2 linked regions of the Oreochromis niloticus genome follow. The protein of the gene in region 1 purifies or fractionates together with the protein of each later gene. This does not show direct contact. Links are inferred from orthologs where the notes say so. Each region holds a gene or a part of one and is shown in the gene's direction. Other genes may lie near its edges.

Evidence for each region.
Region 2: the proteins of irf2b (region 1) and interferon regulatory factor 2-binding protein 1 purify together in Homo sapiens (affinity purification with mass spectrometry; 4 studies listed by BioGRID and IntAct, counting the BioPlex papers as one, with this or other methods). This does not show direct contact. The link is inferred for Oreochromis niloticus from reciprocal best matches to the Homo sapiens genes IRF2 and IRF2BP1.

Annotation. Positions count from the first base shown.
Region 1 is NC_031966.2:34,355,977-34,367,200, forward strand, and holds the start of irf2b (interferon regulatory factor 2), read left to right. Parts: upstream 1-6,039; 5' UTR 6,040-6,244; intron 6,245-6,268; exon of another isoform or gene 6,269-6,380; intron 6,381-9,184; 5' UTR 9,185-9,190; coding exon 9,191-9,277; intron 9,278-9,364; coding exon 9,365-9,464; intron 9,465-10,661; coding exon 10,662-10,838; intron 10,839-10,970; coding exon 10,971-11,017; intron 11,018-11,224. Other genes in the region: caspase-3, read left to right, coding at 631-806, 1,782-1,902, 3,690-3,919. UniProt on the Homo sapiens protein: Specifically binds to the upstream regulatory region of type I IFN and IFN-inducible MHC class I genes (the interferon consensus sequence (ICS)) and represses those genes. Also acts as an activator for several genes including H4 and IL7.
Region 2 is NC_031975.2:3,515,352-3,526,432, reverse strand, and holds interferon regulatory factor 2-binding protein 1, read left to right. Parts: upstream 1-6,085; 5' UTR 6,086-6,357; coding exon 6,358-8,142; 3' UTR 8,143-8,167; intron 8,168-9,193; 3' UTR 9,194-10,123; downstream 10,124-11,081. Other genes in the region: hnrnpl (heterogeneous nuclear ribonucleoprotein L), read left to right, coding at 1,082-1,117, 1,383-1,451, 1,555-1,805, 2,636-2,757, 2,881-3,082, 4,102-4,159, 4,282-4,377, 4,500-4,558. UniProt on the Homo sapiens protein: Acts as a transcriptional corepressor in a IRF2-dependent manner; this repression is not mediated by histone deacetylase activities. May act as an E3 ligase towards JDP2, enhancing its polyubiquitination. Represses ATF2-dependent transcriptional activation.

The DNA of each region.
Region 1 (11,224 bases):
CACTGCCCAAGCAACACACCTGAGTTCATTACACTCAGCTGCCCCTCGGCTCAGTCAGCTGCTACACCACCCAGAGACATGTGGCCCATCCTCAGGAATAAATCAATCCCAAGTCTGTGCTGCTCAACCAGCTTCCTGTTAAACGCCATAACTGACTTTAACCTGCTGTGTTTAGTTTTCCTCCCATTCCATGATGTTTTTGTTTTTGTTTGCAAGAACAGTTTTAACAGATCAGATTTCCAGCCTGGATCTTATCACCCTGTCCAAGTTTCTTATCTTATCTTAAATCATTTTAACTTGATATGTAAAATGTTAGAAATGACACATGGCTGTAAAGTGAGCACTTTTAATTAACAAATAAAGTAGTCGGCATAACATGTGCTACTAAGCCACCGACAGCTCTCCCAAAGCTTCGTGTTAGCTGCTAGCATTTGTTAGAGGGCTATGCTAGCTAACAAAGCAGACTGGACTGTTTGGGAGTGTGAGCTTTAATAGGCAGGAGCTCAAACAGCGTACATGTACTGCAAAAATATGAAGTACCTAAAAACCTAAACCTATTTTAGTAGCACTCTTTAAAACAACTGGACTAATAACTCATATTGTTTCCCATCTATTCTGCTGTGTTTGCAGCATCCAAGGAGGACCACAAGAACAATGCATCATTCGTGTGTGTGCTGCTTAGTCATGGAGATGAGGGCGTGATATACGGCACCGATGGCCCTGAAAGGTTCGATACCCTGGCGAAGTACTTCAGAGGAGACTGCTGTGCGGGTCTGGTGGGGAAGCCAAAGCTCTTCTTCATTCAGGTTAGTTAATAATGCCAATTTGATACACTTCTGTGAATACAGTCATGTTTTCATTTGTATTTGATCAAATTGTAAAATATTTCCTTTGATCGTAATTTGCTTTGGAACTTTGATAAGAAGTCTAAACTCACTTTCAATGAGAAAAAGTTAATTACTACATGTTCCCAGACTATGTTCCCTTTCTACAGTTAATGCCACCTTAAAACGGGTGTAGCTAATACCAAATATTAGAGAGCAGTTATCCCCATTTCCTCAGGAGGCGTTGCCTTTTCGAGGCTTCCTTTCTGAATTACAAATTCCTCTTAACAATGTTACACTGTGTCACTGCACCATCTTATGGTACGCATTGGTATTACACCCAGCTCTACTTCAACATACCCTCCTGAGACCCAGCCGATTCATTATGTCCTCTGTAGTGGACAAAATGAGTTCAACTGAAAGATGCTAGTTTTCCTCAGTATTCAGGAGGATGACAGACACAAGTTTTTTCCTGAAATTCTGTTTTTGGTTTAGTCCATTCCGGAAAGTTATAACAGCTTTTAAACACAAGGATGTACACACCTGCTTGACTGTGACAACATGAATGCTTTTGGTGCTAAGATTAAAAATACATGCAAAAAACTGGATGTCTAGCTGTACATTACATCCTCCATCCACCAGAAACATTAGGGTAGTCACGCTTAGCTTATTCCCAGCCACCTCACCTGGAGCAGGCGGCTGGGTGGGGGAGGTCTGGCTATCTCTACTTGGATTAGTGTACCTGCGAAGCAGAGATGGATAAGTGACCAAAAATGAATGAATGGATGGAGCTTATGAAAAAGTACATACAAGCAGTTTTTAGCAGATTTGACTGGTGACTTTATACAGATGTTTATACAGATGTTTATACAGATGTTTATACAGATGTTTCAAGATTTCTGCCAACTGGAGCTTGAAGAAGGACTTTGATAATATCTGCTTCTCCTTCCTTTTCAGGCATGCCGTGGTACAAACCTGGATGATGGAGTCATTGAGACCGACAGTGGAGGAGACGAGCAGACGTCTGAGAAGATTCCTGTGGAGGCCGACTTCTTATACGCCTATTCCACCGCTCCAGGTACAGACAGTGTTTTCTGTTATCTTAATAGACTACATCACATTTTGGCTAAACGGTGGACTCACATGGAGGCCAGTGGGAAAAGCTGAGCTTTATTTGAACTGATGGCAAAGTCCATAAAAAAGACCAAAAAAAGTGCAAATAATACTTAATCTCCAAAAAATTAAAAGACAAGAAATGGCAGGTAAAAAATAGACACTTTGATAAAGAACACAGGAGAGACAGGGATTTACACGCTTACTGCGATAAGATCAATGCTTTAAGCTCAGTATGGTGCCCACATACAGAAATGGGACATTAAAATATATGCCTCAAACATGTCGGAGAAAAAAAAGGGGGAAACTATTAGGATAATGACGCAGGAGATGTCAAACTAAATGCAAAACACAGGAGACAATGACTACCAAAATAAAACAGGAAATGAAAGATAGCCACGGAAACAGGGAGACACTTAGATACAAGAACTTTACGGGATGAATAACAATAAAAGAACAAACTCTAACTGAGAAGAAAAGAGGAACAGGATACTAATGGAAAAAAACCCAATGAAACCAGACTTACAGAAACAATACCAAGAACCAGACGGCCTGAAGGAAGAATGGAAATAAAAACCAAAAAATTAAACACAACTCTGAAAACCGTGAGTTCAGAAACCGACCTACGTGCCAAATATAGAGACTTTTAACTTGAAAAGGCAACTGATGTAGGAAAGCAGAGTGTTGTGATCTATGGCATAAATCATCATCACTTCAAAAATTCTGGACACACTTTAATGACCACTAAACCTCTGTGATTTTTTACAATAACTAGTTTATCTTTTCATGGATTTTGACTCTGGAATATCTGTTTTTAATTTGTTGTATGAATAAAATACAACACTTCATTATATTCAGACGTCTTTCATGGTTCATTTTTGAGGTATATTTTTTTCTGCTCCAGTACAACCATTTATCTAACTGATTTTAAGTGGGCTGGATGTATAATTAAATGTCTTAATACGGCCTTTAGGTGATCAGTCTGCTAAAGTAACAGCTGAGATGACTGTGGCAAGGACCACATACACACACACACACAGCGTTGTCAGTTTGCTCAGTTTATTGTCTATGGCAGTAGATTCTGTTGTTTTGGTGCTCTGCACGCTGGAAACAGTCACTCCACGTTTTTCTGCTCTGCTGTCACTGAAAAAGCCAAGAAGATGTCATCTAACCTGACCCAGCACACCTGTGTTTCAACCACGCCTCCCTGTGAGCTCACTGTGTCGCCCCTCCTCTGCAGCAGGCCAGAGGCCACACCTCCACCACAATGACTCTAAACAATGCATTGCTTTCTCACTCACTGCAACCTACATGGCTCTGCTTGATGCTGCTGAGTCACATGACCACAGGAGATCGGAATGCAGCAGAGCAGGGAGGAGGGGGCGGAGCAAAGCGTGCCTGCATGAGAGGAGCATTGCTTCCACACACGTCTCCTTTCTGATGAATGAGAGCAACTTACAGGGGACAGACAAACTAAAGCATTGAGCGTATCGGGCTAGTATCGATCCAATACCAGCCCCAGTATCAGTTCTATTGATATTTTACTGCATAAAATGATATTAAATTAAATAGAGTACCATCGTAGTAATAATAAACACACAACTGAACTAAACAGATGCCCTCCCATAGATCATTGTTTTGTCACAGTCACCAGTCCAGCTACTTTATTAGTGTCAGGATTGTGTATTATAGTGAACGATCGCCTCCTCGTTGTTGTTTTCTAAGAGCACTAACACTGTCACCCTCCTGCAGGATACTACTCATGGAGAAACACAACCTACGGCTCCTGGTTCATACTGACGTTGTGTGAGATGTTGGAGTGCTACAGTGGGAAGCTGGATCTGATGCAGATCATGACGCGAGTCAACTACGGTGTTTCACGCTACTTCGAGTCCTCCAGCAACCTGCCTGGATTTGCTCGCAATAAGCAGATCCCCTGTATCGTCTGTATGTTGACCAAAGACTTTTACTTCCCCGTCTAGATTTACATGGTTGAACCTCAGTGATCTTTGTTCTCCTTGACCAAATGCAAAGTCTGATGCTGTGCTGCAGCTGATGCAAAGCAGGATGACAGTGATTTAAATGTGACTAAACCCATTTGCACAATCTGCACTTAGATTAGTGATACTTTTATTGATTTTAGTGTTGGATCAGTTTACCTTTTATATTTTGTGTGTTTATGTATGTTTGTATTAAAGTGAAAAAAACCATTAACAGTGTTGCGACAGTTTTGGGCGCTCCACATGTTTTCGCCATCTGTCGTATTTTTATGTTTTGTTGGCCTAACAAGGGCATGTTTTTGGACCTCATATTGAGAGTTCTAGTGAACATCTACCAAACTCAGGTTCAACACTTTGAATCATCAGTTCTTTCTGAGCTTTTGAAAATGGGAGGTTATGTGTAAAACATTTAATTCAATACATGTGTTAAAATCCTTGAATTGAAGCTGAAGGTCCGCACTTCAGTCACATCTTCTTTGTTTGATTTAAAGTCCGCTCTGGTGGAGTGCAGAAGCAGGAGTCCACACACTCACGGAGCTGACCATGTGACAGGCCAGATGTTTTGTATTTTGAACCAACTGTGTGAACATGCAGCCACTAGAGGAGGCCAGAGAAACAACTAATGTGATTCTCAGAGGCCTTTAATGACTCAGCAGTTTTGCAGAGGTTCCAGGAACTGAAACTGTGGCCCGGTTTAACCCTTGATGCATCGACCATGTGGAAGTGCTAATTTGAAAACGAGAAAAGAAATAAGACTTTCTGTTTAGACAGTTGTCAGCTTCTTCTTCTTCTTTTTCTAATTCTTCCGTTTTTCTTTTTAACCATCTGTATTCTGTGTATAAGGCAGCTTCTGTCTGGGGCCCACTGCTGTGAAATACAAACTCCTTGGATAGGTTTGTCAGACCCCTCCCGGGCTCAGCTGTGTGTGTCACAGAGATAACCCTGACCCTGTGGAGAGCTGGCACACACTTTCCATTTGTTGAGGATCAATTGTGGAGGTTGGAGCTTCTCAGACATCGCGTTTTCCATTCCCAGATTTTGACAAAGCTGTTTTCTCTTTGCTGTAAACAGAAACAGTGTGCTGAGTGAGTCACCGGCAGCACAAATGACACCAAATGTAACAATCATTAATGAATGGGGAATTTCAGTACGTGTGAGTGTGCCAGTGGAAGCCTTATCTTCAGAGTTTCCATTAAAAACAGACACATGTCATGCATACATGCATGCTGCTGTGTTGGGAATCTGTCGATCTGCTGCTAGCTTGCAGACATTTTCATGTGAAACTGCACAGCTCAGTTTCGATTCTCCTTTTTAAAGAATGAACGGAATCACTGCGTGCACTACTCTAAACTGCAGCTTGACTCTGGGACCCCACCGCCACAGCTACACACTTAGAGGAGAGACATTACAAAGGTGTCCTTTCCACACAACGGCAGGTGTGCTGCTGCCAACCCCTTAAACACACACACGGTTGTGAGAAGTTTCTAGTTTCGTTTCCAGTTGCAGCGGCGGAGAAAAAAGAGGAGATGTGGGGGCGACGGGGGGGAGAGAGACACAGAGGAAGTGAAAATGAAATTCAGCTCAAAGATCGTCTATGTCCTAAGAATAAACGTTCCGGGGGGGCGGTCATTTCCGCCGTGTGTCAACCTGCTTATACATTTAAACACGTATTTGCTACAGTTGGCTAGGACATTGATGTATTCAGGTACTAGTCACTGAGCTATGTATATATATCCCAGACGTGCAGACGTTTAATGTTGGTGTTTTGCAATGGCGTGGCAAGGTGAATGGTAAATACTAGAATTTAGACCAATTTTATTTTTAGGTGATTCTATCCTACGCTGTTCTGTATCAGAGCACGTGACTCCTGTGCAATCTGACGGATAATTATCCCAGAAAGTAAAGCTAAGCTACGAGCATTAGGCTAATCTTAAATGTCATGGTTGCCGCCAAAAAAACAAACAGATAACCCGCCCCCCCAAAAAGATAATAATAATAATAAAAAAAAAACACAACGGAGTGAGCCATCTTCGCTTCGACGTGTGCGAGCGCACGCGAGACTTCACGACGCTCGAGACCGACCCAAAGCGAGAGCACGAGAGCAGGAGGGGGATTTCCAGCTCTGGCCCCCACTTCCCGAAGCGGCCGTTGTTTTGCTTTCGGTCTGAATGCAGAAACAGAAATAAACGACGACCACACTTTCCCTTTTCCACTTAAAACCTCGAACACGTTAACCTGTCCGGCTTTGGCTGCTCTTCTTATTCCGACAGCGGGACTGTGGAGCCCGAGGCCGTCCAAACCTAACAGGTAACATCTTATTTCCGCATATTAACGTCGCTGCCTTGCGCTCCCCTGGCCACACTGACTTCCTACAGGGCGACATGACGGATCCCTAGCTCAAGTGAAAGTAGTTCTGCAGTTTGTCTCCGCGTTTCATGACTCGGTATGGGATTTATTTTCACTTTTGACTTCGTTGTTTTGGGTCAGCTCGGTGGCAGGCGGTAGACACACAGAGCGCGATAAACTTCTGACTTGCCCCCGCTGCTAAAGCAGACTCGACTCCAGAACAAACATGTTACTAACATTGGAAAGTCAGCGGTGATGTGGCTGTTTACCTGGAATTAGTTAATATTTGCTAGCATCCTCCCGCTATAACGTAGACTCTTTGAAGTGTACAGTGTTTATCTGTTTGTAACTGTGTGTATTTACCGTGTTATAATCTGAGTAGCAGCGGGACTGAGCCGTGAACAGTATTCAGGTCTTAGTGCGTGTCATTTACACTGAAAACACTACAAGTGTTATATTGTCTGAACTCCGTGACGGGTAACTTACCATGTTTAGCAGTATAAAAATAAATGTGCTATACACTGAAGAAATAATAATAGTAATACTATTAATAATTTAAAAAGTACTACTGATGTTATAATATTGAATGTTATATTCTTAAATGTACAGTTGGACTATATTTGAGTGTAGACACCGTTATGTACACAGTGTAAATACATATTTAAATTCTTCTTGATCCAATTTTTCCGCCATATCAGCAGCAAATGTTCCTCATTGTGCAATTAGTAAAAAGAACAGAAGAAAGCACACATATTGCCACGCACTGTGATGACATGTTGGTCAGAAATCAGTATAGTTTGCGTCAACGGTTTAACCGCATTCATTTAACCCTAAAGTCCCGCTGTGATGATTCCCTCTTCCACCAATTAAACATCTGCTTGTTGAAATGTATTCACACCATGTGCTGTTCTCTCAGAGGACTTAGATGTAGTCTGTCTCACTGAAAAACTGAGCGGAAACATTAAATAGTGCTGAGTTAAGTGAACTTGGCGAATGTGTTAAAATAGATCTGGGTCTTTTTTTTTTCTTCAATTGTCTTTCTGTTAGAAAATGTCTTCTGTCAGTGTCAGATACTCTGACATAAAACTGTAAGTTTTTACAGGTATATTTGTAGTTAAACTGCATGTCTGTGAATGACCAAAATATTAATATCCACAGATGTAATTTAAGAACAAAGAGATGCTCATATTTGTGAATGTGAGCGTGCTGCTTTTAACGTGTGAGGCAAGCTGCGGTCAGAACTTGGGTGATAAATGAGGATGAAGAGATGCCTGTGTCGTTTTTACTATTTATGAAATAATGAGCAGTCTTATCTGTGAATAAATAAATCATTTTCCTGTCTTGAGTCACTCGTGTGACTGTAAGTAACCTGTGTGAATGATTTCTAACTGATGCCGTGTGTCATGTAGTCTGTTGGGAACACCTGAGACTGTCGTCTCTCTTTGCAAGATCACCAAAAGTCTGCTTTTGAAGCGCACAGCACAGTTTGTTTGCACAGTGATCAGTGCAGCGCCCCCTGTTGCAACTGAGTTAAACAGCAGTGGCACATTTCATCATATGTAAACTTAATGTGCTTCATATATGAGATAAAAAACATTAAAAAAAAACTGTAGGATTACAGTGCCTTGAAGTAAACAAGTGTAAGCTTGCACGAACAAAAAGGTTTTGAGTCTGTTTTTGAATGCTTGCATAGGTGTAACTGATCTCAGGTCAGCAGTACCTGAAAGCACCCGCAGCATACTTGGATCTGCTTGTAGGAGCGTTTGCCCTGCACCTGATGGCAGTCTGACTGGGTTGTAAACAGTGAGCAAGTCAAAGATGCTTCAGGTGTGCAAACCACCGAGAGCTTTGTGCTGATCGGACTTTAAAGGTGAAATATCAGTTTGTGTTTGCTGAAGTCATTTGTGTTGAGATTTGGTGACACAAAGCTGCCTCTTATTGATATTTGCGGGGGTTGTTTAGTTTTCCTTTTCGAGCACCAGGGGCTGGGTTGAAGTGGGACGTGGGCCCTGTGTTTTGGCCATGTGTGCCATTTGTACTGCACTCCTTGTGTCTTTTTCAGCTTGTGTTTTCTGTAGTGATATTGTGAGCTTTCACTGAACAGACGCAGCTGAAAGGCTCAGCCTTGTTTGATATTTTGGATTTGATGCTGCGCTGTTTCACCTTGTTTAACCTGTTGGGGAAGCACTGCGCTGGCAGGGAGTGTCAGCCTGACTGGACTTTGATCACGTTTGTGTGCAGAGATCATCACCCTGCCCTTAAATCAAATGTAGCGGCATGGGTGGGCTAAAGTTTTCTGGGACGGTTATGAGCTCTGTTTGTTTTTTCCTGTTGTCCTCTTGTTCCATTGTTGTTTTATTTAAGGTGTCGTTCTCTGGAACAAACAGCGCGAGGCTGAGTGTAGAGCTACAAACATGAGCTGACATTTTTATTTATGAACCGTGTTTTATGGCTGCTGTTCTTTGCGCACACATTAAAGAGCCTGGCCAAGAGTCTTATCTTTACAAGCACACACAGATCTGATTCAACTGTGTTCCACACCTTACTCTGAAATGATGACTATGAATGGGGAAAAAACATCAGTGGGGGGCCTGCTATGCTCATTTCCAGCTCTACTTGAGTAGCTCTGGATGATTCATGGTTCAGAATCGTTCTTGTTTGTCGTTGGCTTGGTGCAGCCGCTCAGTTCATCCTGTGTGAAACAAGATGTTTTGGCTCTTGTTGGCACAGTGAGCACCACAGCAGATCACGTATTACAGCATTTCTATTTTTTTTTAAAGTTGCTACAATTTGCTATAATGTTTACAAAAAAACAAACAAAACCATCTTTGAATCCCAGTATCCGTACCAGTGCTCACACATTCATAATAACTGTACGTATCTGTGTGTGTGACTTCACAGACCGCAATGCCAGTAGAACGAATGAGGATGAGACCCTGGTTACAGGAACAAATCGAATCCTGTCAGATTCCAGGACTGAAATGGCTTAACAAAGTGAGTGTTGTTACACACACACACACACACACACACACACACACACTGTAACTTTAAGATGATGTAAACAATGTAAATTGTTTGCAGGAGAAGAGGATCTTCCAGATTCCTTGGATGCACGCTGCCCGTCATGGCTGGGACCTGGAGAAAGATGCTCCGCTCTTCATGAGATGGGCCATACACACGGGTATTGCACAGATTTAACTGCAGCCTCCGCTGCTGCTTCTCCTTTTTAGCGGTTCTCATTTTCATGCCTGCTACACACTGAAACACTTCTGTGATTAAGTTCAGAGAGTTTTGATTTATAAAATGCCTCCTTTTCATATCACTGGGAGTAGTGTTCCTCTTCGTTACTAACCTGAGTCAGTAACATTAAAAAAGGATCCAAGTTGAGCTTCACTTAAACAGAGAACAGTAGCATCAGGAAATTCTTGTTTGTTTACCGTCCCTAAAGTAATGAAGTCCTTTTGCATTTGTTTGACTCCATATTTTTTACCTGATGCAAACACCATGTGTGCTGGCTCTGTGCTGAACAGGTTGAGTATCTGCTCTCAGGTAACTTTGTTAGGAAGCACATAGTGTCTGTGTAAGGGTAATTCCCACTGCTTTGCTACAGCAGTAAATGAGAAAATATAATCTGTGCAATCTTTGCTAGAAGGATGTTCACACGTTCAGTCTGAGGGTGTGATTCATTTTCTCCTTGAAGACTGTAAGATGATGTCTCCCAGTCCCTTTTTACATTTCAGTTTGGTTGGTTTGTGAGAACATATGATGTAAAATGTCCAGCTTTTGCCCCTCGGTGGTAAACGACCCCTTTAAAATTCCCAGATCCAGATCAAGCATTAATCACTGCTAAGCTGCGTAAACCCTCACCTCGGAGTAATCCTGCTAACAAACAAAGCAAACCAGTCACATGACCTCCTTGGTGGATAATATTGGGGAAATTGTTACATTGTTTAAATATATCAGGCAAACTTTTCCATAGAGAGAAATGCTACTTTATTACAGATTGAGCTAAAAGCAGCTGCAGTCTTGTTGGTGGTGCCTGTACTTGATTGCAATACTTAATTTGACCAATAAATGGTCTAATTGTATCATATTAAATAAGTTTATGTAACAATACAAAGAAATATATGTTCCTTTTTTTTAACTTTCATTTGATTTGAAGTGAACATGTCAGATAATACAAGCTGCTGTAAAATTAAACAGCAAAAACTAACCAAGTAACTAACCAATAATGTAGAGTCAACAAGAATCTGTATGCATACTGGTAACACTGGTTAGCTCATAAATAATTGCCTCCATAGTGATGAAGCGCTTCTCTGAAATCCACCACAAAAAGACAAATTAGTGATTTTTTTCCTTCTTCTTGCATCTGAATCAGGTAAATACCAGCCAGGTGTAGACCGTCCTGATCCAAAGACATGGAAGGCTAATTTTCGCTGTGCCATGAACAGCCTGCCAGATATCGAGGAGGTAAAGGATAAAAGCATCAAAAAGGGAACGAATGCCTTCAGAGTTTATAAGATGCTCTCCTCCTCAGAGAGAAATGCCAAGAAAGGTGAGCGCTGCTGCTGTCGTCATAAATTCTTTCAGTTTTATCATTCTGTCGAAACTCAAATGTTTCCTCATTTTTGTTTGAGGTTACTGGAAACTCAGTTGAATGGTTTTTTTGTTTTGTTTTTTTTTCCAGGAAAGAAGAAGGCAGACAAGGAGAGGAAGTCCAAAGGAAATAAAGAGGTAGATAAACGTACAGGATGGCGATCACACCACTGCTAGAGTAGCATGTAGACGAATGAAAGAGCAAAGATAGAGATCCTGAAGCGGTGGTGGCGACCAGCAGCGTGTTGGAACAAACGTCATGTTTCTTTGAAATAACTAAGTGAATCCTAAACTTTAACCTGCAGCTGATAAGCAGCTTTTCCTCCTGGCTGGTTTGGTAACACA
Region 2 (11,081 bases), on another chromosome or scaffold:
TCACAAGGCGTGCCTTCAATTCACAGTCTGCAATCAGAGGCAACACATTTGAGAAATTATTTTTAGTATGCTTAGGATTGGATTTTAGACTAGTTGTAGTAGTTTTTTTTTGTCATTTTTGTTGCATATGCAACAACTGCACTTTGAAAACAGAACACGCCTGCAGTGGAAGAAGGGGAAAAAAACAAGCATATAGCCAAATTAATTCTAGTTCACTTAACAGATGTGGAATGAGTGAAGTACTAAGAATAAATATTTCTGTCAGGCCAATGTAGCTGTCCAACATGGCCAACACTGTGACTGTGAAACTGTCCTTGACACTAGGATTATTGGTGTGCTTGAGTGCCATGCCAGATGTTCTGATGTTTAGGTTTAAATGCACCATTGAAAGCATTTTACATATGTAGTCTTTTCAAAAAATCACTCAAAATTTCCCCATTTTGGCACTACTTTGGTTTTAAACAAGCTGAACAACCTATATGAAGCCTCCATATGAAGACCTCCATTTGCAGCCTGTAAATAAACAAACAGGTGGTGGAAATGATTGTTTACCACGGATGATGTGCACATAGTGACAAAATTATTACTGAGAACTTGATGGTTTAGTAATTGCATAGGGAGTAAACAACTTCTACCCTAACCTTAAGGAAGAGGTGCCTGCTAAACAGCTACTGGTTTAAGAAGAATATTTACTGAGTTTTGGTGAAGTGAGCTGAAGGAAAGCCTTCTTTGAACAAAAATAAATCTGTTCTTACTTTTTGTTGACGTTAAATCAGCTGACCTCTCTGGTTTTAATTTTTCACCATGTTATTAGTTTCAGTGCTTGATGTTTTTTCACTCCTCATGTTATATCTGTGTCCTGGCTTGTAATAAATGTATATTGATATTCAAATAGTTTTCAATAAAACAGCAGGTGCTGCTCTTAGCACATTGCGTATTTTACTCTTTGATTTTCTGTTTTAATGTCTCTATTCCAAGCAACTGAGCATGTGATGAAATGTCTTTATACAGTGTTGCCAGATTGCTATTTTTTTTCATGTTGTTTTATTGGATTTGACGTGTGTCATGTGTACCTGCACAGATGCTGATGGTGAAGGCAATTGGAACAATTCACAAGGTGTGTGTGCTTGTACTAGAATGGCAGATATAAGACTTTAAAATTTGAAAGCTATCTTCTTTCAAAGTCACTGTGGGAAAAAAAATCTCCATTATGTCACCTGTAAAACCTGCAGAATGTTTGAACACTTTTTAAAGATTTCAGGCCCTTCAGTTGCATGCCATGCACAAACATGTCCCTTAGCATGTTGTAGCCCACGCAAGGTACCTTTGAGACACGTGGTAAAGAAGCTGTTTGATGGGCAACGTTTTTTTTGCTATTATAGATCCCAATGCCAATCCTAACAAACGGCAGAGGCAGCCTGCTCTTCTGGGTGATCACCCACCTGATTATGGTAAACATCGCATAATCAAATTAGTGTGACATGTAGAAAAATGAACACTGCTCAAAATCAGTTACAATTATGTTTTTTGTTTTGCTTGTTTTTTCATCTTAAGGTGGACCACAAGGAGGTTATCATGGCTACAACGATGACAGCTACGGCCCCCCTCCTCCCCATCGCATGGGGCCAGGCATGGGTGGGCGTGGTCGGGGTAACCAGCGCTACGGTCCTGGATATGGACCGCCACCGCCTGAGTACGGTCCTCACGCTGACTCTCCAGTTCTTATGGTGTATGGCCTGGAGCCCTCTAAGATCAATGCTGACAAGGTCTTCAACATCTTTTGCCTGTATGGCAATGTAGAGAGGGTAAGTGAAAGCTGACTGAAGCATCAAGTCATTGTTTTGCTGTTAGACCCCATAAGTGAAGGGCGTTTATAATATTTTGCAGACATGTGACCGCTTAGCACGTGATACTAACTTGTCGGCCATTTTGGTTGTGTAATAATCTTGAAACATAGTGAAAACTCTACTAAACATTATTTAGATTAAATAAACTATGGCAACTATAAGTAAACAAACAAGTGTATATACTCGGAGGAAGTAAAACCCTTTTTTGAATACGATCACTTGAGAACAAGGCGATGCAGAATTTTGAAACTGATATATAAACTTAAATATCCTTCTAGCTGTATCTGCTAGGAGGCCGAGGGGTAGCACTGAATGCCGCCAGTGTTTTTTTTTTTTTGTTTTTTTCCACTGACAGCCAAATTCCAGTTTGCCCAGATGATCTTTTTTGGATAAAGCTTTCATTTCTCTAATGGTAGGTAACGCCTTACCTGCTAAGAGGGACAGATTGCTTGTTATCCAAAGGCAGCCAACTGGCTAACCTTATTGTTTTTGTTTGCTAACATTGCTAACAATAGCAAAAAAGCCTGTTGGTTATTGATGTTAGAAGCTTAGAAATGGAGCCCACTATGTGATGGTGTGGCTTACTGTTGATGCTGAAAGTGGAAGAAAGACGGGCATAAAGTTAACATCCTTTTGCTTCAAGTCCATCCTTCAGACAATCTGAAGGTCTTTTTTGTTTATTTAGAAAGGTAAAGTCCCATTGAAAAAAAAAGTCATCATAAGAAGTTGCATATTTAAATACTGTGTGTAGTGCTGGGTAATATTGTTTTGGTCTATTTTTCTTTCAGGTCAAGTTCATGAAGAGTAAACCTGGAGCAGCAATGGTGGAGATGGGAGACTGTTACTCTGTGGACAGGGCCATTACTCATTTGAACAATAACTTCCTTTTTGGACAGAAACTCAATGTATGGTAAGAACAACTCTCTGAAACAATTTAGAAACATCAGCACAGACTTTTTGAGATAAATTTCTCCCTTTAAAAAAAATTAAAAAAACAAAACAGATGCAAGACCTCTGGCCTTATTTCTTTCAGTGTGTCCAAGCAACAGGCTATTGTGCCAGGACAGTGCTACCAATTAGAGGACAACACAAGCAGCTTTAAAGATTTCCATGGATCACGCAACAACCGCTTCACCTCACCAGAGCAGGCGGCTAAAAACCGAATTCAGCATCCGAGTAATGTCTTGCACTTCTTTAATGCACAACCCGACATCTCTGCTGAGATCTTTAATCAGGTAAAAAAAAAAAAAAAAAGCAACAAAGGTTGCTATCTGTGATGGCCAAAAGCATCCATCCAGTGTTGCCAACTTAGTGACTTTGTTGCTATATTTAGTGAGTTTTCAGACCCCCTTAGCGACTTTTTCCTAAAAAGCGACTAGCAACAAATCTGGCGACTTTTTCTGGTGTTATTGGAGACTTATGATGACTTTTTCACGTCAAAGCACGTATCGCTCTTACTCTCAACATGCAGCTGGTGCTGCTGTGGGCACCTCACCCATGCGAAAACGCTCACAGGCGGCAGGTAGTCCTCACGCAGCAGTCGCCCCGAGCTGATGTCAGAGCAGGAGATATTCACCCCTACGCATACAAGCTGCAAATGAATTGCACATGAGTGAAGCCACTGCTCCAACCCTGGACTGTAACGCGGGGGGGGAGCAGTGGTAACTGTACATCATTCCAATCATTGCAAACTTAGAAATTGGATGTCCTTGCAGAGCCTTAACTAAATACATCCGATTTCGACTGAAGCTGTCTGGTGAGGCTTGCTATGTCCATTTTGATTGTTAATGGTTAAAAATGTTCTTCTTTTACTGTTACTTTTTGTGGATCAAAAGGTTTAAAACTAGTTAAAAAGACACACACACACCAAAACAGTAACTCCACCAGAGTGCCTATTTCGGGTCACTTTTGCTGTTCCCAAGTCCGGATAAAGGAGGAGGGTTGGAATTATTGAAAACAATAGTTGCTAAGAGAAATTTTAATTTGTAGTTCTAAATATATTCTATATGCTTTTAGGGTGTGTGTTTGTATTTTTTTTTAATTTTTTTTTTTTGAACTCACTTTGTCTCTTCCACAATGTTATTTCTCTCTCTTACAGCGTCTGTTACAATTACATCGGTAGGACCAATTATGCAAATTAGGAGATTACGCCATTTAGCGACTTTTAGGACAGCCAATAGCGATTTTCCTTACTGACGAGTTGGCAACACTGCATCCATCTCACATATTCACTGAAACGCGTTTCTGTGCTCAGGTCTGTGATGAACTTGGAATCAAGAGGCCCACAAGTGTGAAACTTTTCACTGGAAAGAGTGAGTAATATGTTGTAACTTGGTCACTAAAGTTATCTCATAATTTGGTTGTGCTGTTGTGTCCTAACTGCTTTTTAACACAGAAGTGTTATTCAGTATGGTAATGTCATGTGACACGACAGGTGAGCGGAGTTCATCTGGCCTGCTTGAGTGGGAATCCATCAATGATGCCATGGAAGCACTAGCTATGATGAACCATTATCAGATGAAAAACCCTAGTAAGTATTTAACATGTAGATCAACAAGCCAACGTGGTTCTTGGTATGTTGTACATTTGAACGCTTAATGACATTTTCTACATTTTATGATTAAAGTTTTTCTTCCGGCTTCTATATTCTAGGTGGGCCTTACCCTTATACACTGAAGCTGTGTTTCTCAACTACACACCATGCCAACTAAATCTTCCTTGAAACCATTTGTAATGTTTTCTGTCTTTGGATAGAGTATACTGCAGTTCTGTTTCACGTACCATTAAAGCTGTGTTGACAATACCTAGGATTAACGTGCTTTAGAAAATGTTACTTAAATTATAATTTTTTTTAAATAATTTATTTAACTTTTACCATGTTCTTCAAATTTTTGTTTATTTTGTATGTTCACAACACTATGTTTGATCGCCCCCCACCTTCTGTCTTTTGGTTATTAAATAAAGCCAACAGTAACCATAATGTTGCTAATAATTTAACCAGTGTCACATAATCAGAGATTGTTTGTGTTGTATAATTTCTTCAAATCCATTCTTGAAAATAAAATGCATTCTGTGAAATCAGTTTTATTCATATTGCTCCAGTTTACACTTACAGTGTAAAGCACCAAGTCAAATACCCTACAATATTATAGAGAAAACTACAACAATCAGACTATTTCTTGTAGCCAAACACTTGATGATGGTGGGAAGGAAGAAATCCCTTTTAACGGGAAGAAACACCTGCCAGGAAAAGATCGGCTTCAGCTGGCTGGGGATTGTAAGGGGGGGGTAGTTGTTATAACAGCAAATATACAAGCACTTGTATAAAATGAAGAGATATGGGTATAAATTTGGTTAATCCTGTTCTTCGTGTGTGGACCTGACCCAAGTGGATGATTAAAGAGTCTGATAGCGGTGGGAAGGAATGACTTCCTGTAATGTTCCCTCAGACAGCTAGGTTGAAGGAACCTGGTGCATCTTTCTTCTTACTGCCTGTCCTAACTGCCCTGCAGGTGGGCAAGGTTGCTACTCAGAGCTGTGTACCTGAGACCATAATAGGAATATCCACGCTCACTGACAACAGAAAAAACGATGAGCTTTCAGCTCACAAAGATTATTTACTGACATCATTTGGAACTTTGAGCATAGGTAAAATGAACATTCACTATTGTAACTTTTTATACATCTCAAGAAATGGGTATAGAAAAATATATCCTGGGGTTTGTTCGCTGCAAACATATTTGTATTGTCCTTATAAGATTATTCTCCAGAGTTATTCTCCTATAATATATATATAGATATATATATCGCTATGTGATCTCTCATCATCCCAGTGAAGCCGAGTTTGAAAACTCTCACGTCTGTGCAGGAAGTGGAGTATATATATGTTATGAGATAATATTTCTCATAATATGTCTCCAGCATTACAGCACCGACACTGGCTTTCCTCTGATTAACCGCAACACAAGCCATGTTTTCTGTCTCCCATCCCAAAACAAACCAGCTCTAGTTAAACTGAGGTTTCACGGAAAAACGTGTCCGACTAGCGTCAGTGTCTCCGCTACTTATGTATCTTGTCGCCAGTAAAGTAGTCCCTCTGAATTTTCCCCTTTAATCATTGTTTACAACTGTTCTGTTTCTATGTGGTCTGATTACTTTGTTGCTCAAAAGAAGTTTAATATTCAAATTCTAGAAAATAAGAAACAATGGCTTTAAAGAGAAACTACGTCTCCCATAGTGCTCTGAGCCCTGGCCGCGTAGGTGTTTCCGGTGTCTTATAACATTTTACTTCCTTCCACACAGGCTGACACGAACAAACGAGAAAGAAGACGTCGTTAAGTTTTAAATGTTACCGCCAATACTCGGATTTTGAACTTAATTTTTTGTTATTTTCTGTTGTAAAATTCGCGGTATGTGGCGAATGGTGTCGGAGGACTGAAGAATCGGTGCAAAACGTAGTCCGTAACGTGTAGGCCTCCGAAGAAAGTTTGGTCGAGGGCCTGTAAACAACATGTCCTCCGCCTCGCAGTCTTCCTCGAGACGGCAATGGTGCTACCTCTGCGACCTGCCCAAGATGCCTTGGGCTATGCTGTGGGAGTTCAGCGAAGCTGTATGCCGGGGTTGTGTCAACTACGACGGCGCAGACCGGATAGAACTCCTCATTGAAACTGCCAGGCAGCTGAAGAGCACTCACGGAGTTTTAGACGGCAGGTCCCCCGGTCCACAGCAGGGCAAACCCAGCTCTGCTGGGCCCCTTGAAGCGGGGCGGCATCACGGAGAGCGTGTAGACCGGGGGAGGGGTGAGTATGGGGCTTCTTCTCGCCTCCCCAATGGTCTGCACAGAGCTGAAGATGTAGCTTTGTCAGAGGGCAGCCGACAGAGCCCGAACACTCGTCGGGCTATGCCTGGGGTAGTTTCTAGTCTTCATAACACCATACCCCATGCCTTGATAGCTCAGGGGCTAGTAGCAACAGCTTCTCATGGCATTTTAACCCCATTAACAAGCACGAGAGCTGGGGCCGCTCCTATTGCCGTCTCAGCTGGCCCCATAATAAGCGACAGTGGCAGAAGACAGGCTGTGTCGCTGGGTATGGGACCTAGCACTTCTACTCTAGTGGGCATAGATCCGGCAGTGTGGAGGAACAGTGAAGTAATGGCTGAACTGAATGAGGTGGCTCGTAGTAGAGTGGAAGGGTGGCCTAACCGTCCCAAAGCAGTTCGGGATGTGCTGGTAGCTCTCAGCAGCTGTGTCCCCTTCAATGTGCGCTTCAGGAAAGACCATAATCTGATGGGGCGTGTTCTGGCCTTTGATGCTAGCGCTACTCCAGAGTTTGAGCTGAAGGTGTTCGCGGAGTATCCCTCTGGCTCTGGAATGATCTACTCAGGAGTTCCAGATCTGGTCAGGCAGATGTTCCGTGACTCTGCCAAAGATGCTGGTAAGGCAGTAAACTCTGGGCTGCGCTACGTGGAATATGAGAAACGGCAAGGGACCGGAGACTGGCGTGGGCTGTCTGAGCTGTTGAATGATGGTGTGCGTATGTTTAAAGAGCCCCCAATCCCAGAGGTTCTGCCACAGCCAGACCCAGTGCTGTCTTTGGCAGCTCCTGGACGCCCCGGACCAGCCAAGGGCACAACCAGGCGCCGAAAGGCTTCTCCAGGCTCTGAGAACGGAGAGAGTGAGGGAAGGGCCGAACACCCTGTGAGGGAGCCCTGGCCCCGGGGCACGTACTCAGGCATGGAACCTCTTCCTGGCATGGCCGTACCTCAAGAGGGCCCACCTCGTCTACACAACCAGCCTTCACCCATCTCAGCACTTATGGGAGTGGCAGATGGCCTGAGCTCCAGTCACATGGCCAGAGAGAGCCCCAGCATGTCCACAGCCCACTCCTCCTCAGCTGGGCGCCCCACAAGCAGCAGCCCCTCGACTCCCTCCACCTCAGTCTCCCAGGCAGCTGTAGGGCAGGGTCTGAGCACTGGAGGACAAAGTAACAACACAAACACTGGGGAGTCTACAAGTAGCACCCCAGGCACCCTGCTTTGCTGCACCCTCTGCAGAGAGCGCCTGGAGGACACTCACTTTGTCCAGTGTCCCTCAGTCCCGCACCACAAGTTCTGCTTCCCCTGCACCCGAGGGTTCATCCGCAGCCAAGGTCAAGGAGGAGAGGTGTACTGCCCCAGCGGAGAGCGCTGCCCCCTGGCCGGATCCACTGTGCCTTGGGCCTTCATGCAGGGTGAGATCTCAACCATCCTAGCTGGAGAAGGAGATGTGACAGTAAAGAAGGAGAACGACCCTTGACCCTCCATCCTTTTGGCAGTGAATGGTGAGAAAAACCTGAGAGGAGCAGACCTCCTTGTTTTATAGCTGAACTTTATCAGTGAGTGTTAAAGCAACTATCAAAAGCAGTTAAAAATAAATAAAAATGGCAGACAAGTGCAGGCATATGGTTTCACATGTGCTTTTATTAAATAGGGTAACTGCAGCCCAAATCATCATTTGTGTGTTAATATTTCTTATATTTCTTCAACACTATTCTAAGAAATTAGAATATCTTTGGTTGTAGATGTCAGACAAGGTTTTTGTTTTTTGACCAAATTGGGGAAAAAAAAATAATTTGTAGGTGCTAACTTTGCCCAACCAATTTCTCTGATGATTTCAGTGACACTGTTGAGTTACTTTCAACTCTTCCTTGTCACGAGGTGTCACTATGCCACATGCAACCCGAAAATGTATTTGTGTCTCTGGCTGGAATTGAACTAAGCAAATGTGTAAACTGCTACACTAGTGATTTCAGTGTTAGAAATGGTTGAAATCTCCTCATGACGACTTGATAGTTTTGCTGAAGTTGTGGCACACCCTCATCATCAGATCTGAGGTGCTCATATGACTTGGCCAGAGCTCAGACAGGATCCAAAGTGATGGAATAATACATGACTAAAACTTTGACTTCTGACAAGTTGTCTTTAGATGTTAGAAGGCACCACATTTCAGTGTTAGTGTATGTTAGGCATTAGACAACCTGATGTCTCGTTGGAGATTTCATGTAATCCCAGACTGACTCCATGATGCTGAGAGCAGGGCTCTGTGGGGGCACACCATCTGTGGCACAACTTTGTGTTTCTTAAAAATTCATCTACATGAGCCTTGTACTGTTTTTAGCCTCTTTGTTCTCTTTTAGAATTATATCAGATATCTTCTTGATGTTACTGTGTGAGGAGAATATTTTTGAATGTGGAGTTACCTGTATGTATTAGATGCATCTCAATATCAGGTCTGAGCTGTGGGACAAAGAATCCCTGTGTGACTCTGCTGTTTGATATTCTTACATGGCTTTCTTCTTTTTCCACAGTGGATTAAAACACAGTGAAAGCACTTACCTATAATCTCAAGCAGAGGTCCACTTTGGCTGTAGTTCATCATGTGTGCCTCCAAGAGCCGAATAACTCTGAAGCCCAGGAGGACCACTACACAAAGACCGGTAACTCGAGACAAGACTCACTCACGAGAGGAGGGAGACGTCTGCGCATCGGGGCTGCATCGTGACCGAATCAAGTCTCGACCCAATCTCTCTCCATCCTTTTTTAAAAAAACAACAAAAAAAATCTATTTATTTTTATTTTTTTCCTAGTGTGATAAAGGCCTCATTTCAAAAAGCCCAGGATTAAAAGCACACACTTTTCTTTTTAAAAATTTTTTTTTTGCTGTTTTTGTGTTTTTTCCCCCCCCCCCTAACAATGACAATCTGATCTTTTTTGTTGTTGTTTTTTGCATCCTGTCTGACACAGATGCAGGATACTTTTTACATGGTTTGACAGAATGATGCAATTCTTTAAAAAAACGAATGTTCAAAAAATGTTAAAACCATTGGGTCCTTAAAGCCAAGGGGAAAAAAATGTAAACCTACAATACATCACTTGTTATTCTCTTTATATTGTGTGTCAAAAATGTGAATTTTCTTTCAATATGGCTATGTAATTTCTATTTTTGATACAATACAAATTTCTATGTATTTGTTTATAGTGATGAGAAGACCAAAGATGGCTTCATGCTCAATGTAATTTTATTGTATTGTAGCTGTGTATGCTGTATTCACTGATAACCCTGGCATCAGTCACTAATTAGTTATTCTATCATACAAGTAAGCTTGTTTTGTCTATTTACTTTTTGAATTCTATGTATGGTAAATTTATTAGCATCACAATCTTCAATGGTTAACCCACATATTCATGTGATCTTAACAGGTCAATTCTACAATAAATGACAATGTAGTTAAAACTTAGTCATTTTGCCGCTTCTCTACTAATGACCCTTTGAAGCCTCAGTTGTGCATTTATATAAAACTTTATTAGATAAATATTTTTGACAGAAAAAAAGGAAAATCCCACACCAGCTCCCCGGCATAATTAGAATCTTTCCCACAAACCACTATTAGCAGGGTTGTAAACACACTGAACAACAATGTGTATTTACATGCACTTAGGTGTCCTGGCTGCAGTAGTATGAACAGCCTGAGGGGTGTACTATGAATAAAAATCAACACGTCCAGGCTTCTGGTAACACAATGGTGGTATTATCTGTTGGGCTGTGCTTTCTGCTTCAGGCTCTGTCGGCACACACATGGAAAAGGTGTGTTTTACGCATCGTGATTGTTCTTCCCTGTAAAATGATCGCTGAGTGACAGAGACATTATCAGCCAATAATACATTGGTTGTTTAAAATCTATAAAGAATAATATAATAAAATCTATAAAGAAAAATATGACAGTAAACTAAAACACTGCTGGTAATTCAGTGCATAGATGCGGTAAAACATTTTCATTTAAAGTAATAATTGTAATTGCCAAGTGTGCTCTTTGGTGCTGTTTGTTTTTAATGTGACAGCTGGAGTTCTGGAGCTTCAAAGTGGCTACATTTTAACATTAAAGTAGTGAAGTTGCTTTGATTAAACAGGTATTCTTGGTATGTGTTTTAGTAGCTGTAATTTCAGCAGGGTAAGTGAGACTTGGCACATTAGACTCGGGTATATAAATATATATATAAAAAAAAACAAACATGTTTTCTGAATCTCCAAATTAATACGTGCACATTCCCATGACAATGGAATGCATAGTTTATGCTTCATTGAGTGGTTTTAGTAAGGTACAACAATTTGCGTAAACAAAACATTTTTCCAGCAGACGATCTATATTGTGCTTAAAACATGCTGTAATATTGGCTTCCAACCCATTTTAAAGGGAA